Nothobranchius furzeri: one gene and its partners. The protein of the gene in region 3 interacts with the protein of the main gene of each other region in a pairwise test. Links are inferred from orthologs where the notes say so. Each region holds a gene or a part of one and is shown on either strand. Other genes may lie near its edges.

What was found. The genes of interacting proteins can lie anywhere in the genome.
Region 1: the proteins of nab2 (region 3) and tchp interact in binary tests that used the Homo sapiens proteins (3 or more experiments, as listed by UniProt). The two-hybrid records come from large-scale screens. The link is inferred for Nothobranchius furzeri from reciprocal best matches to the Homo sapiens genes NAB2 and TCHP.
Region 2: the proteins of nab2 (region 3) and zmynd19 interact in binary tests that used the Homo sapiens proteins (3 or more experiments, as listed by UniProt). The two-hybrid records come from large-scale screens. The link is inferred for Nothobranchius furzeri from reciprocal best matches to the Homo sapiens genes NAB2 and ZMYND19.
Region 4: the proteins of nab2 (region 3) and transcription elongation factor A N-terminal and central domain-containing protein interact in binary tests that used the Homo sapiens proteins (3 or more experiments, as listed by UniProt). The two-hybrid records come from large-scale screens. The link is inferred for Nothobranchius furzeri from reciprocal best matches to the Homo sapiens genes NAB2 and TCEANC.

The regions. Positions count from the first base shown.
Region 1 is NC_091757.1:45,563,357-45,567,482, reverse strand, and holds the start of tchp (trichoplein keratin filament-binding protein), read right to left. Parts: upstream 2,801-4,126; 5' UTR 2,678-2,800; intron 2,621-2,677; exon of another isoform or gene 2,534-2,620; intron 2,395-2,533; 5' UTR 2,391-2,394; coding exon 2,194-2,390; intron 1,335-2,193; coding exon 1,124-1,334; intron 1,033-1,123; coding exon 976-1,032; intron 655-975; coding exon 586-654; intron 321-585; coding exon 147-320; intron 69-146; coding exon 1-68. Other genes in the region: gltpa (glycolipid transfer protein), read left to right, coding at 3,615-3,717. UniProt on the Homo sapiens protein: Tumor suppressor which has the ability to inhibit cell growth and be pro-apoptotic during cell stress. Inhibits cell growth in bladder and prostate cancer cells by a down-regulation of HSPB1 by inhibiting its phosphorylation.
Region 2 is NC_091746.1:54,510,030-54,514,009, forward strand, and holds the start of zmynd19 (zinc finger MYND domain-containing protein 19), read right to left. Parts: upstream 2,801-3,980; 5' UTR 2,620-2,800; coding exon 2,569-2,619; intron 1,304-2,568; coding exon 1,244-1,303; intron 1,149-1,243; coding exon 1,042-1,148; intron 550-1,041; coding exon 409-549; intron 231-408; coding exon 50-230; intron 1-49. UniProt on the Homo sapiens protein: May be involved as a regulatory molecule in GPR24/MCH-R1 signaling.
Region 3 is NC_091743.1:50,555,446-50,559,625, forward strand, and holds the start of nab2 (NGFI-A-binding protein 2), read right to left. Parts: upstream 2,801-4,180; 5' UTR 2,666-2,800; intron 2,501-2,665; 5' UTR 2,446-2,500; intron 2,281-2,445; 5' UTR 2,232-2,280; coding exon 1,320-2,231; intron 1,182-1,319; coding exon 1,048-1,181; intron 67-1,047; coding exon 15-66; intron 1-14. UniProt on the Homo sapiens protein: Acts as a transcriptional repressor for zinc finger transcription factors EGR1 and EGR2. Isoform 2 lacks repression ability.
Region 4 is NC_091754.1:47,120,131-47,123,070, reverse strand, and holds transcription elongation factor A N-terminal and central domain-containing protein, read left to right. Parts: upstream 1-1,131; 5' UTR 1,132-1,219; intron 1,220-1,284; 5' UTR 1,285-1,347; coding exon 1,348-2,262; 3' UTR 2,263-2,440; downstream 2,441-2,940.

The sequences.
Region 1 (4,126 bases), on a different chromosome or scaffold from region 3:
TCTTCTATTTTATCTAGCTCCACCTGCTGCATCATCAGAACCTGTTGCTCCTTTTTTAGACGGGAGGTCTGAGGGCATCAACACACCGTTAGGAAGAAAAGCTTTATTTAGACAAGCAGAGATGTTATTTTTGAAGCTGCAAAAACCTCTTCCTCCCTCATCTTCAGTTCTTCCATCTGTTGGCGAAGAGCCTCTGCTCTCCTACGCTCCTCTTCTTTCTGTCTCTCCTCCGCTTGCTTCATCCTCTCCTGCGCCTCTTTTCGAGTCCTCTCGTGCTCGTTCTCAAAGCGCCTCTTCTCCTCTCGTTCTGTCACTTCTTTCTGCATGTTTGATGAGACGGGTTGCTCACATCAAGTGTCAAACTTTCTTAACTATGCACGGCGTTGAGTTGGATTAACCTGAGATTTCAGATGTGATCCTGTGCTCACAGAATGCATAAGCACTTTGATTAAAAATAGATGTGCTACATAAATAATTGGTGATGTAAAAGGATAATGGCAGCTTTAATGGCTGGCTGGACGGATTAAACACTGACATAAACATCATTTGACATGTTTAATTGAACACTCGGGGTGATCATCCTACCTGTTTCTTCTCAGATACCTGCTCCTGCCACCGGCTGACAACATGATCTTTATGTAACGCCGACTCAGCCTGCAGACAGAGTTAAAGACTGAGTTGTGACAGAGGTGCTGATGAACCTGACCCCTAGAGGAAAGGAAACCAGAGCGTTTTACTCTCTAAAGCAAAGGCTAGACTCAGGTTAACTGAAAGTAATGGAACGTGTGCCTCACTAGAGCTATAAGTTTTCAGATCAAATGGACATCTGAACAAAAAGTCTCTGTTTTCCTGGATTATCAGGTCCTTCACACACACACTAGACGTTTACCTGATACCCAGAGTCATTAATCACATTGGTGCAGCCCAGATTTGGGGCTTTAATCACTTTTGCATGAATAGTTCAAACCCACTTACCTGTCGTAATTCTGCATTGTTTCTCTTCCAGTGCTCTCTCAGAAGCTCCTGTGCAATCTAGAAGACACAAAAACAGAGAAGTTACGAGAACAGAATCATACGTGGCAAAACACTGACCATCAATAACAAAAATATTTATGGGAACTACTTTTTTTCTCGTTTCCTCTCTTGCTGAATGAAGCTCTTCAGCTTTCTGCACCATTTGATTCATTCGTGTGGTTTTGTCAGGGACAAGCTGTCGAAGCTCTGCCTCCAGCTGGTCTCGTTCCTCCTGAAGCATGGTTCTGAGCTTCCCTCTGTGTCTCCACAGGAAGGCTTTTCTTTGCTCCTCCTCTTCCAAATGATGGTAGGCTGACATGCTAATAAAGAGTGGAGAAAAAAAATACTTCAATTGTCTTTTGTTGCCATCTTTGTCTGCTGATCCAAACCGTGAATATACAAGAAAAGACATTTCATTTTAGAATTTGGTCTGAAATTATTGACAACAGAGATGTCTCTTTTTTTCTAGAGGGGAAACAAAAGCAGATTTCCAAATATTAGGAAATTCATTACTAGATAGGGCAATATTAAAAACATGACTCAGTGGTTCTGCTATGAAGTCTGCTTCCAAAAAGGATCAAGTCTGTCAGGATTTGTTTGGATCTAAACTTTTCAGTATGCTATGGACCTCCGAGACAACAAATGGGATCAAACTGAATGACTGAGTGGTAGAAGGTGAGCTAACGAGGAAGGTGAAATGGTAAGCTGCTGTTTTCTAGGCTTTTGTAGGTGAGGATTTAGATTCAGAGAAAACCGGACTAAACAAAGTGCTCAGCTGATTTATTGGTTATTAAGTGAGAATCCTTTTTTATTTGATTTCCTTCTAAAATCACTCATGATGACTTGAGTTTTTAGACAGATAAAAATCAGATTAGACTTTATTTACAGTGGAGTTGAAACGATTCTGCAGTCGTCTGAATGACAGCCAGTCCCTTCCCGGTTTAGATTTCCAAGCTTTTGCCTAGGCAGCATCGCTTTCACTCATCAGAGTAAACTATGGGCTATCTCGACCTTCAACACGGATTTAACGGAATGGAGCATTATTATTTACAATCTCATTGAAGGCATCACAGAAGAATCCCCATGCCCTATCTCTTCTACATCACGATGAGGTAGATTTGGCCCCAGTCGTCTCTGCTGCAACAACACCCTCCCAAAGTAAGAAAAAGACGCGCGTGCCTTTGCTGGAAGCACCTCTGGCAGCTCCAGGCCGCCTGCTGCTGACAGCGGACTTCCTGCTCCTTTAGGTACCGAGAATGAAGCTCCCACTGGTGGCGCTGTTGAGCCTCCCTCTCACGACGCTGGACCTTCTGTTCTTCCAGCACCCGGCACCGATTCCTACTGGACAGATGGACCGAGCGTGTGGGAAAAGCCATCAGTCTGAATCACAAGCAACAAAATAAAAAAAAGCAACTCAACAGTTAAACACAGTTACACCTGGCATCACTTGAGATTAGTCTATGGAAAGCCTATATAATAATATAATAGTCTATATCAAGCACAAGACGCTGTTTCTAACGTTTGTGTTAACGTAGATGCTAACTCAGCTGACGAAAACAATGGCGGTTCCTAGATTCGTTTGTCTCCATAAACCACATTTAGCCTCTCAGCAGAGAAACCGTTCAAATAAATCAGCACGTATCATTTGGACACAAAAGCCTACCTTTAAGAATTTAAACCGTCTTCGCTTTTAATTCAAATTCAAACAACCGCTCTCAGGTATTTCCTTAGTTACCAAAGACGGTTTACTCCCCTCCAACGCTACGGAATCAAGCGAAGGCCAAAAGTGTTCATTTCAAGAAACGCGAAAAGATTTTTCTCATTTCGTTTCTTGTCACAACCTCAACTTACGCGCGCTGATAAAACAAACAAACAAATAAATAAATCGGATATAATTAGGTGATTTTTGTGAGTTTCAACACAAAAAATGGTGGGAAAATCTTCCCAGTTTAAATTGTTGTTAGAAATAAATTCAGTCACTTATATTCAGTCAGGTGGAAATTATCAATTATTATTATTATTATTATTATTATTATTATTATTATTATTATTATTATTATTATTATTATTATTATCAATTTCGTTAATATATAATTATTCTGACAGAGACAGACAGACAGACAGTTAGATGATGATGATGATAGATAGATAGATAGATAGATAGATAGATAGATAGATAGATAGATAGATAGATAGATAGATAGATAGATAGATAGATAGATAGATAGATAGATAGATAGATGATAGATAGATAGATAGATAGATAGATAGATAGATAGATAGATAGATAGATAGATAGATAGATAGATAGATAGATAGATAGATAGATAGATAGATAGATAGATAGATAGATAGATAGATAGATAGATAGATAGATAGATAGATAGATAGATAGATAGAGGAATAAATGTCCCATGTAGACTAATTGATCACATGAGCCTGCCGGCAGCTGGATGTCCTTCCATGACCTGGGTTGAAAGTAGGTAACTTGAGTGTGTGAGTTAGTGCGTGTGTGTTGATTCACCTAGTCTTGGTGACACACTGAATCTGCAGCACAGGCTTTGGCAGCCTTTTGCTTTTAGCGTGTGCAGACTACAGAGATGGCTCTGCTGATGGAGCACCAGTTCAGGCAGCTGCCGGCTGACAAACAGGTGGAAACAAGACCCTTTCTGGAGGCTGTGTCTTACCTTCCACCATTCTTAGGTAAGTAAAGCTTATCTTCTCAGTTTTGGACAGTGACCAATAACAAATGTGTGCTTGTGAAATTATGTGAACAAACCTTTTAGATGTCACACACTGCAGGATGCAGCATTTTCCTATATTTGTGGAGCTTGTTATGACAGATTTATCAAGTCAAAATTATTGTTGTAATAAGTAAATAATAAGCTGAATTTATGTCACCGACAAGTCACATCAAGCCCGTAGCTGCATGTTATGATACTTTTACGTGGACATTATAGTTCTAATTTTTCCACTGGTGCAAGTATTGACAAACATTGATTATTCAGCACAAACTGTCAAAGAAGCAAAATCTGTCCCAATCGTTCTTTAAAGGTCACTAAAACAATGTGTCTCAATTCAAATGATTATCTTCATTTGGATCATATTTCTC
Region 2 (3,980 bases), on a different chromosome or scaffold from region 3:
GAATGAGTAAAGTTTTTTTTTAATCAACATCGGAACTTTCAGTACACACCCTCCTCTCAATTAGTGAACAAGGGGGGTAATGACACTCGTAATAAGTGCAGGAGCACTCCTCTTCCTCCACTAGCTCCCCGTTAGCATTGTAGTAGCGCGTGCGGCTTAGCTCTAGGTACTGCTCCTCCACCGGGTCGGCTGGGACCTGCTGGATGGCCAGCCAGTACAGAGACTGCTCTCTAGGAGGAAAACAAAAACACAGAAGACATCAGTTATTGTCCACCATACTGCTAGAATCAGTATGGTTCTCAACATGTGAGTCATGGTAGTGACTCAACGTCAGCTACCGAAGTCCTCTCAGGAATGTTTAGTATTTTTGCCCCCATGCCTTTCAGCAGAATTCATAAGTGGTCTCACCTTTGCTTGCTGGAAATCTCCTCCGGCTTGGGGCTCCAGCCCACCGGCACCAGTCGAAGGTTGTCTAACCGGTTGTCGACGGTTACGGAGTTGATGTGAATCACTTGAAAACTAGGGGCAATGCCTCCCCTGTGCTTCTCCCTGGTTAAAAGCAAAGAAATCAAGAACTGGTTCATTCAGAGTTACTGAGGATTTATTTAAACATACAGCTAACCCTACCCTCCAGGGGAAATTTCTGGTTTTTGAAGTCTACAGATGCACTTAATGGATAACAAGGATGGTTTTAATATTTGCTGCAAAATAGCCTAAACACCAATGACCTTTAAGATTCTTGTAAAGGAAATATAGATGGTTGATTTGTCCTCATTAGGTATGGGAGATTCAAGCTAAAACTTTCCATTGTATAGGATCCATTTAAATGTTGATGTTTGCTTTTTTAGCATTTATGATGTATTTTTTCCTGGCGTACACAGAATCAGTTTCTCTTTTCAGAAGTTCTTATCAATCTGGTTCAGGTTCAAGGCTTTTCCTACTACAAGTCAAGGAATAAAGACTTAAATATAGAAGATAATGTTAACTATTCATTTTTGCTCACAGAGAACATCTTGTTTTTGTAGAAAACAAAAGACTTACCAGAGTAGCTCATGCAGAGGTCTTCCTGCCCAGCGGCCTTTTCCGATGTCAAAAGCATAAGCAAAGATCTTAGCACCATTGCCATCTGCATCTACCTCCATGCGTGCCTAAAAATAGAGGGAAAATGTAGCCGTTTTAAACTTCTTGGCTGTGGTTAGCGATAAAAATGGGAAACGGGGTACAAAACATTCTGATAGTTTACCTCAAAGGCATAGTTTTCCACAAGTGGTATGTCCTGCTCATCAATCAGAGTGTATTTTGTCTGAAATGGAGAAAAATTGAAGACATGATTTGAGTTTCACAATAAAATCTACAGCTGTGATCATAACATACTTTGAATGGATTTTAATGAAAAAACACTATCCAATATGCCGCCAGCAAATACCCAATTTTTAAGCTCGTCTATTAGTAAAACCACAAGTTGAAATTTTTAGAAAGGGCTTTTCAGAACTTCCACTCACTACCAGTTGATGGTTCAAGCTCATCCTCTATAAAAGATTTAAATCAAGTGATCTGTGCCAGTTCAAAATTTGCAACACACCTGATGTTTGCAAGATAAACAGAGGATGACACCACTCAGACGCATATGTATTTGACCTGCAATCCCTTTGTTGCAGGTCAAATCCTGAACTGACCAAGTGTGTAAAAGTTATAATACACTTACCCACAATAATGACTAGTTTTATCCTGTTTCAACCTACCAGAGGTTTAATAACGGCATGAAACAAGGCGTAATTATCTGTTTTAAAACTAAATATAAAAACGTTTCAACCAGAGGAAAACTGTCACTCAGCCGGATGAGATGCAAGACTGGTGACAGCAGTTTATCCTGCGTGTCTTGTGACAGCAGTGACAGCAGCAGCAGCCAGGGGTGTCAACACCAGCATCCTGCCCCGATTTAAAGTCACGTGTATCTGAGGCAATTACGTTATTTGAACGGAATAAATCACAATACTTTAGCCCCGAGGTGTGGAGCGCAGCATTGCTATGCCGGTGTTATGTTACCACGGGCTAGCGTTGATGAAGCAAGGCACCGATTCCCTCATTAGTTGTCAGCTCCTGTCTAATCCAGATGCCATGGCTAACGGCTAATCTGGTGATGCTAACCTATCCGCTACAAGATAAAATGTCAGTTCTCCTTGTCACACCACACCCCCAACCAGCCACGAGCCACGACAGTGTCAGCAGCAACAAAAGCACAAATAGTTTGTGTTCACGTTTCAGGTAGACGTTTTGTTACTGGAAGTAAACCAGCTAACGGACATGCTAGCTAGTGTTAGCTTGAAGGAAGACAGTGATAGCGGTGGAGTAGAGAAGAGCAGACTGGCTCTGGCTCGACGCGGCCGGCTTTTCTAATCCGCTCAAACGACTCTGAAACGGTACAACTAGCCCACTCCCGCGCCCTCAACGGCACCATTATCATTACGGCAGCTGACTGGCATCGATAAATTGCCGTTAACAGTGTATTTACTTGAGGTTTCCGCATTCCCCACGGGCCGCACATGGCAGCACTGGGATCCAGCTCACCTTCCCGGCCACACGGCCGAGCCGAACAATCCCGAGCTTGAAATCCGACATCAGGAGGACGGGTGGTGTTGACACAACGAGGCGTAGAATCCAACCTTGGCGGTTTTCGGGGTGTAGAACTCGCCAGGGCAGCCCGTCTGCCCCGATGCGATGCAACTTCTGGGTTCAGTGTAGTGACTGCCCTACCTCCAGGTCTCTCCGGCCGCAGCCCAGCCTCGGTGACACACGGCCGCTGGAGCACGAAAGCTGGGCGAGCTGTGGTGAGAGGCGGGGTTATCGAAGGAATGAGCCACTATTCCAACCAACCAATCGAAACACGTTTTAGTCTGCGATGCCCTGTCCTTGCGCCCAATAGAATTACACAAACGTTTAAGACTGCCTATTTTAACTTAGACGTCAATGCTCTCTCGTGATCACTTCCAATCATTTTCGCGCGAAATCTTTGGCGGCTCTGTGCCACTGAAGGGGAGGAATCTCCGTTTTCTAAAAGCTTTCATTTAAAATTAAACATGAACTTATAAAGAATAAACATTGTTATAAATGTTGTCATATAAAAGCAAAATGGGTTGTGTTTGGCTGATTATTTGTTTTTTTGTAACAATGCTTCTTGACTTTAAATACCTGGGGGTCCACATCAGTGAGGACCTCACCTGTGCATTGAACACCACACAGTCATTAAAGAAGGCTCCACACAGCTACTGTACTTCCTAGGGGGCTGAGGAAGTTTGTCACTCAGAATCCTCAGCATCTTCTACAGCTGCATCATTGAGTCAATTAGATCTGTTGCATCTCTGTGTGATAAGGTTTGGTACGGGAGCAGCATCACCACCACCAATAACCACTGAGTCAACAGGACAGTCACCTCCATCTTCAAAGACCCCATCCACTCCCTCTATGGACACTTATTTCACTTGCACATGAATAATGGTGCTGTAACTTTGGTAGAGTTAATAGTTTTGATTGATTTGTTGCTTCTTTTTTATCTTATTTGTTTAAAAACCTAAATTATACTGTGATAGAGTGGGACTATCTAGAGGAAGTGATGTCACAAACTGGACCACCAAAATAAGAGTGGGGTAACTTTACAAATGGATCTTGTAGAAGTGCCAAAACTATAACCCTTTCTGACATATACTTTTGGCATCCATTGCAAGCAGCGAAGAATTTCATTGTACATGGAAATACATGAATCTGTATAAATCATTTATCCTGATTAGTCACCTTTAAAGAGGTCCTTCACAGAGAAAGCATTTTTGACTTATTGTTTTTGAAAAACATAGGTCATTCTGAGTTTAACGTGTAGGCTAAACGTGAAAATTGTGTCCTACATCTATTTCCTTCCCAATGATATAAAATAGATGGTGAAGAGTATCGCCAGAAGCACAACCAAAATTGTTAAATTGTTCTGTTGT
Region 3 (4,180 bases):
CTGTAAATGCTTACCTCATGTCTTGGTCTCTTATTACACAAACTGCTGTTCTCATCCGCATTCGGCCTGCAGAAGATAATAAAAAAATAAAAACTTTTAATTGCAATAAGAATTCTGCCAAAATTCCCAAAAATGTATGAACTACCGTTCCATTTTTGAATTTTAATGTAAACAATGAGATGTATGATGGAGTGTTATAGCCACTTACTGGTAAAAAAAAAATTACCTGGAATTTTACATGTAAAAATACTGTTTCTAGCTCATTAAACTGAAGTTTGATGATTCAGTGTCTCCTCAACTAGATTTATTGATTCAAAATTTAATTGCAACAAAATAATGTTTGTGTTTTTATAACTTTATTCTCTAACTTTTCTGATTAGATTTTAATAATTTGACCAAAAAATTATAATAATAATCCCAATAATCTGAACAGCAAACAATAGTGCTTAGGCCATGTCTGGGATTTTAAACTAAAGAACGTCAACTTTTGGAATCAAAATATGGTTAAAAATAAATAAATAGGTCAATGGCCTGTATCTGATAAAGCGCTTTATACGGTCCTGGAACCCCCCAAGGCACTTTACAACACAAACAGTCATGTATCCATTCACACACATTCACACTCTGGTGGTAATGAGCTACATTGTAGCCACAGCTGCCCTGGGGCACACTGACAGAGGTGAGTCTGTCGTACACAGGCGCCACCGGTCCCTCCGAACACCACCAGCAGGCACGGTGGGTTAAGTGTCTTGCCCAAAGACACAGCGACAGAGCGGGGCTCGAACCTGCAACCTTCCAATTATGGAGCCAGCACTTAACTCCTGTGCCACCGTTGCCCCATGCTTGCCCCAAAATTCTAGAATTGAATTGAGGTGTACTCTTTTTTTACCTGATTAACTTTTTATATAAAACCTGAGCTGTAACAGAAGAAATCTGAATAAAACAACTGAAAACGTCTAACTAACACTTTGCTTCGATCTGAAACTCGTGTGAAGCAGGTGTGTTTGTGTGGGTCAAATCCTCATCGCTCACCCCTACCTCACTCACCTTGTGCTCTTCAGTGTGGAGGTGTAGGCACATTTCCTGGCCACCTGTCGAGCCAGAGAAAACAGCTCCACCCGTCTGAGGAGAAGAGCGTTGTCGCGCATGCAGAACTGAGCTGCAGCTTCGTTGATGATCAGCTGGGGAGGAGGAGACACCGAATGAAGGAGTGATGGAGGCTTTAAATCAACATTTAAGGTCACAAGGTGAAGATAAAATCTGGTTTGTTGTCACTTTAGCGATCCGTGAGCTCGGGTGATGTGCTTGTTAGGTTTTACCTCGTGGTGTGAGAGCTGCTTGCCTTCTCTCCGTTTGGAGTCAAAGCGCCCGTAAATCAGACTGTATTTCCGGATCTCTTCTTCCTTGTTTGCATCCTGGGAACCCATTCTGAAGATGTGCCCCACAGTTTTTGCCATCTTCTTGTTCATCCTCAGCAGGGTTTTCACCTCTGTGAGATCAGACCGGGGCAGGGTCCTAAACAGCTGCTCCACGCTCTCCACCACGGCCCTCGCCGTCTCCCCGTCCAGCTGTCCTCCAGGCCAGGCTGACAGAGCCGAAGGGGCGAATGATGCAGATGGGACAGGAGATGTTGAAGGACCAGGAGGACATGTGGACAGTAGTGGCGGGCTGGGCGCCTCCTCCTCTGTTCCAGGTGCAGAAGCTACATTGCTATTACCATCAGGCTCTGGGCTGAGCCAGTGGGGGTCCATGGGGGACAGTTTTTCCCTGTAGTGTGTTTCTGGCGGTTGAGGAGAGGCCTGGGAGCAGGGGCTCCTTGGACTCCCACTGTACATTGGGGTGAGGCACGCCCGATCCTCCCTCTCACAGGGCGACCCAGGCTGCCCATTACTCACAGGCTTTCTGGGCCCGCCAGCTGACCCACTAGTGCCCGTCCCATCAACTTTGAACAGAGGGATCCCCCCGAGAGGAACGTTGGCGACAGGCTGGCTGAAAAGGGCAGGGTTCGCCGCCCAGTCTCGGAGAGCCTTCTGCAGCCTACGCACGTGCAGCGGCTTGGTGGCCATGCCAACTAGTGCCATGATTTCCAGAAACTCCTCCTCTGCAGCCTCACAGAGTTGTTGCACATCGTCACCGCCCTGCTGGATGAAGGTTTCGTAATAGGCCAGCAGGTTGGCCCGCTGCAGCACCCTGTAGAGTTGCAACTCCCCAAGTGTGCGTGGCAGAGACATGGCACACGGCACTGGAAAAGTTCAGGCAGGAGAAAGGAAACACATGAACCTGCAAAGTGGAAAAGTCCAGAGATGTTAAATATCCAGACAGCTCATTTTCAAATGCATCTATCAGGCTGAAGCACAAAAACTTTTGCATGATTCTAGGATTAAAAACATGATATTTTTCATGCAAAACACAAACGTGCACCAAGTACTCTTGAATCTTTCTTACCTTTTTCAGATGAGTTGAAACTTAAAGCAGTCTGGTCTTATTCCCTGGAATAAAACTGTGAAAGAAGCCAAATATTTTCCCTTATGGTTCTGATGTGAAGCAGTGAGCTGCTTGGGTGACTGGCTCCAGTCAGACTGAGCCAATCCTGAGCCAGATGTCAGAGAGGACTCCCTGCTCAGCGACACGTCGTCCTTCTCTACATCCGATTCGTTCCTCTTACCTCTTCACCGACAGCCTCCACGCCGCAGATCGCCGTAGTAAATCCCCTTAGCGCGTCGCTGCTTGGTCCGATATCACTGGCAGAAATCCTCCTCCGGCGCACCGTATTGGTTGCTGGCTCTGGCTGCCTTTTTGCTGTCTGTGTGGGCTGGAGAATGACGGGGGCGGGCTGCAGCACGCCATCTGACCGAAAAAGAGCCTTCCTCTCCCGGTAGAGAGGCGGCTTTCAAATAGGGGATGTGGGCGGCGGTGGTGGGGGCTTGAAATTAACCCTGTGCGTCTTCACGGCTCCTGACGCACACGCTGTGGGGGATTCCCAGTTTCACCACCACAAAGACCCCCAGACCTGAAGTCACCATTAGGTTAAAAACGATCAACTAATGTGGGTTTGCATGTAGGAGCCCACACGTGAACACGGGTTTTTGCTTGAACCTGTTTCTGTTCTCCAAGACAAAGAAAGTCTAAGAAAAAACGTCAGAAAAAGGTTAACGCGACTGTTGAATCAGATATATATTATATTATATAGTTAGAACCGAAAACATGTCAGATTTGAATCATGTTCTGAACGATTTCGTGGCACCAGCATCATCATCAACAGCAAGGCAGGAAAAATGAATCAATGATAAATGTGAACAGTGGCGGTCCCAAAGGTTGGTCAAGTGGGTGGGGGAGGGCACCCTTGCTTAATCACATTCATGTTCACCTAAACCCTTACATTCATCTTCTTTAAGCCAAATAATACATTAACTTTAATAAACCCTTTCTGTAATAACTAATTATATATATATATATATATATATATATATATATATATATATATATATATATATATATATATATATATATATATATATATATATATTAGGGCCGGGACTCGATTAAAACATTTAATCTAATTAATTAGAGGCTTTGTAATTAATTAATCTAAATTAATCACATTTTAATCGTTCAAAAAAATGTGCCCTCAAAGCAAAACTTGTAATTAAAATTATGAGACAGAGAATCAAACATTAGACATGGTTATTACTGTAAACTAAAGCTCTTAATTTAAAAAATGCCTTTTAATTATTCAAATGTCACTGTGTGATATGAAACAAGACCCAAATCAACTAAAATCAGAGTAGTGAGGACATGGACCATTTTCCCAGCTGCAGCCAGGTGCCTCTCATTTGTTTGACTACTTTCATTAACTACTGTTAGGGCAAAGAATTATTCTGTCTGGTGCTTTCAGCCCTGTACAGATATTACGTAAATGTTAAAAATATAGCTTACCGCAACATTTTTAAAGTTTCCGGTGCCACCGGGCAGCCGCAGCAGAGACGATCTCTGAAAAATGTCTGCGACATGGACTCCGTTGCTGTCTGGAAGTTTACTTTTTCTAAGTAAAGAAAAGAGGAGGACGTGTTTCCTAAATCCTGCATCAGTCCAATCAAGGCAACTTCTGTCTGTTTTTATCCCTTTTTAGTAGCCATTGTTGTGTGCGTCAGTGATATTCGGTCTACAAGGAAATTGTGCA
Region 4 (2,940 bases), on a different chromosome or scaffold from region 3:
GGCTGGGGCCGACCGGTGCTACCCGGCCCGGGCCGACCCGGTACAGATGGGAATGGCCCATAAGACAAGTTAGCTACAGCTAATTAACAGTTAGCATGAAGCTAGCATTCATTGAGGCGGTTGTTTAGTGTTCCAGCCAGTTTGAAGGCAGTCTCTGAGAAGAAGTTAAAGACAGGTTACTGAAAGGCCTCAAATCAGAGAAATTAGTTTCATTCTACCGGACTGACAATTGCTAACAGCTAGTGCAAGGGAAGTGGTTCATGCAGCATCATTTCATGAATACAGTTTAATGCTCACTTGGAAAACTTCACGTGCAAAATGTGGCACTTCTGGCGAATCTAAGAGTCAAGTTCAATTGGAATATCGTAACATTCCCAAAGTTATTCCAGTTTTATGGAATGTTAAACATTTCACCAAACTGAGCCTTTTCAGAAAGCTATCTACTGTTAGTACAAACATTATTAATCACAACTTTGTTTATAGAGACACTGTTAAAAACGCAGAGTTTGCTACACAATCCCAATGTAGGAGCAACATCAGTTGTGCTCTCTTATCCAGTGAGCCCATGTCTCTCTGGGCGATGCAGCAGCTTTTCTAAAGCGGCTCACTCTGAGGATAACAACTAGCTGCCCCTTCTGCAGTTTGACGTACAACAAAATCTCTGGTCTTAACTTTAAAACCACAAACATGCCTTCATAACCTATGATTGCTCCGGAGCTGAGGAGCCTGCCCCGTCTTGTTACCAGATACCCTCCTGGATTCTTGTCTGGAGGCTGCTTGGCCTGTTTCTGCATGCAGAGTCCAAACATGCTGCATTCACCTAGAAATGATGAAGTTGGTCTCAATCCCAAGGATTAGTGTGTTTTAATCATTAAATATGTGTTTACACCTTCAGGAATTGTAGTCTAAAGAAAGGGTTTGTGCTTGCTGTGGGAATAAACGCCCCTAGAAGCCAAATGCACACGTCTGAATCCTTTTACAAAAGCTATAATCCTGCAGCACATCTACTGTGGTGAACTTACAAATCAAACATTACAAACTTTATTCCCCATAAATGCAGAAAGACTTTCAGCTGAACCTTCAGAGTGAGTGAGTCAGCAGCTCCATCTAGTGGTGCATGTAGTTAGTTTCATAGATGAAAGACAAAAACAATATGGCTGCTCCCTTGTTTGAGGTTCTCAGTTAGCAGGAAGAAGCTGAAACTCATGAAGAAGCTCAGGTAAATCAGTCTAAACCCATTTATTCTGTATTTAAGCGTGTTGCTGACATCTCTATCTACGTTAGGACATCAAACATAACAGACATGCATCCTGCCAAGGTCTAAAATAGATAACATTCTCTGCAGCCATGATGGACACAAAGGAAATCGTCCACCTTGCTGTCCAGATGGAGAAGCTGGCTGCAGACCGAAGCTTCGTGGACATCCAGACCCTCCTTGGTGACCTGGATAAGTCTCACATCACAGCAGAGCAGCTGGAAACAACAGAACTGGTCAAAGTCCTCTATGGAATCTTGAAGACCTGCTCAGACACCAATGTGAGGAAGGGGGTTAAGAGCTTGTTGTCCAGGTGGAGGAAACAGTACAGCTGTGAGAGGACAGGAGGGACACACTCAGATGAGAGAAAAGATCCTGCAGGTTCTTCAGCCCAAGTGGATGGAGATGGTGGAGTACGTGCTCCAGAACAGCAGGCAGACCGTCCCCTCCAGGGTACTTCTGCTTTGTCGGACTCTGTGAGGACCAAATGCGTTCACCTTCTCTTAGCTGCCCTCCATCCTGAACCTCCTGATCAGATCAAGGCGGAGCAGCTGGCTGAAGACATTGAAAAGCACATCCATGACCTCCACAAAACCAGCAGACTCAAATACAAAACCTGTGTGAGGAGCAAAGTCGCAAACCTGAGGAATCCCAAAAGTCCTCACCTGTGCCAGGGCCTACTGAGTGGCTCTCTGCTGCCGCAGGACTTTGCCAAGATGTCTGTGGAGGACATGGCCAGTCCAGAGCTCCGGCAGCTGAGAGAGGAGTTTTCATCACAAGGTGTGAGTGAGAGACAGCTTCCTCAAGGGGTGGAGGGGACGCCGACGCAGAAGATCCACTGCAAACGGTGTGGAGGATCAGACTGTAGGGTGACACAGGTGTCCAGGGGTGCTCTGTTTCTACCTGCATGGGTGAGGCAGGGAGGCATTGACCAGGACGCTATGACATTTGTGACCTGTAGGGGGTGTGGTCAGCAGTGGTACCACAGTGGCTGGGTTTGCTTCTAAATCAGGTGATGGTGGCAGAGGAGTTAATTTTTCATCCCCAAAACCAGAGGGTTGCAGATTTGCATCCCCGTTATTCTGACGCAGTCGTTGTGACAAGACACTTCATCCTCCTTACCTACTGGTTGTGGTGAGAGGGACTGGTAATGCCAGTGTGTCCCAGGGCAGCTCCATCCTTCCATCCTCCATAAACAAGACCCTTAAACCTCTAGAGTAGGGATTCCCAAAGTGTGGTGCGCGCACCCCCGGGGGTGCTAGGGGGTGCGCGAGGTGAAAAGTGTAATGGCTGCAGAGCTCAGAGAAGTCTGTCATATGTCACCATACATATATATATATATATATATATATATATATATATATATATATATATATATATATATAGCCATGCCCTGATGTGGGGGCTGGGGGGGTGCGTCGACATGGTCGGGACATAGAAGGGGGTGCGCGGCTAAATAAGTTTGGGAACCACTGCTCTAGAGGAACAGATGGTCCCAGCCTCACGAAGAACTTTCAACCTTTATTCTAAATACCAAACCGGCTTTTAAACAGTTTTATTTGTTTTCTGGATTAAATAAATGTGTAAGTCAAGTATTTAGTTTAGCTTCCCTTAAAGAGGGACTGCACACCATCAGAAAATGTAACTCCACCCTTAGTCAAGATTTGAAACATGCCATGAAAGTG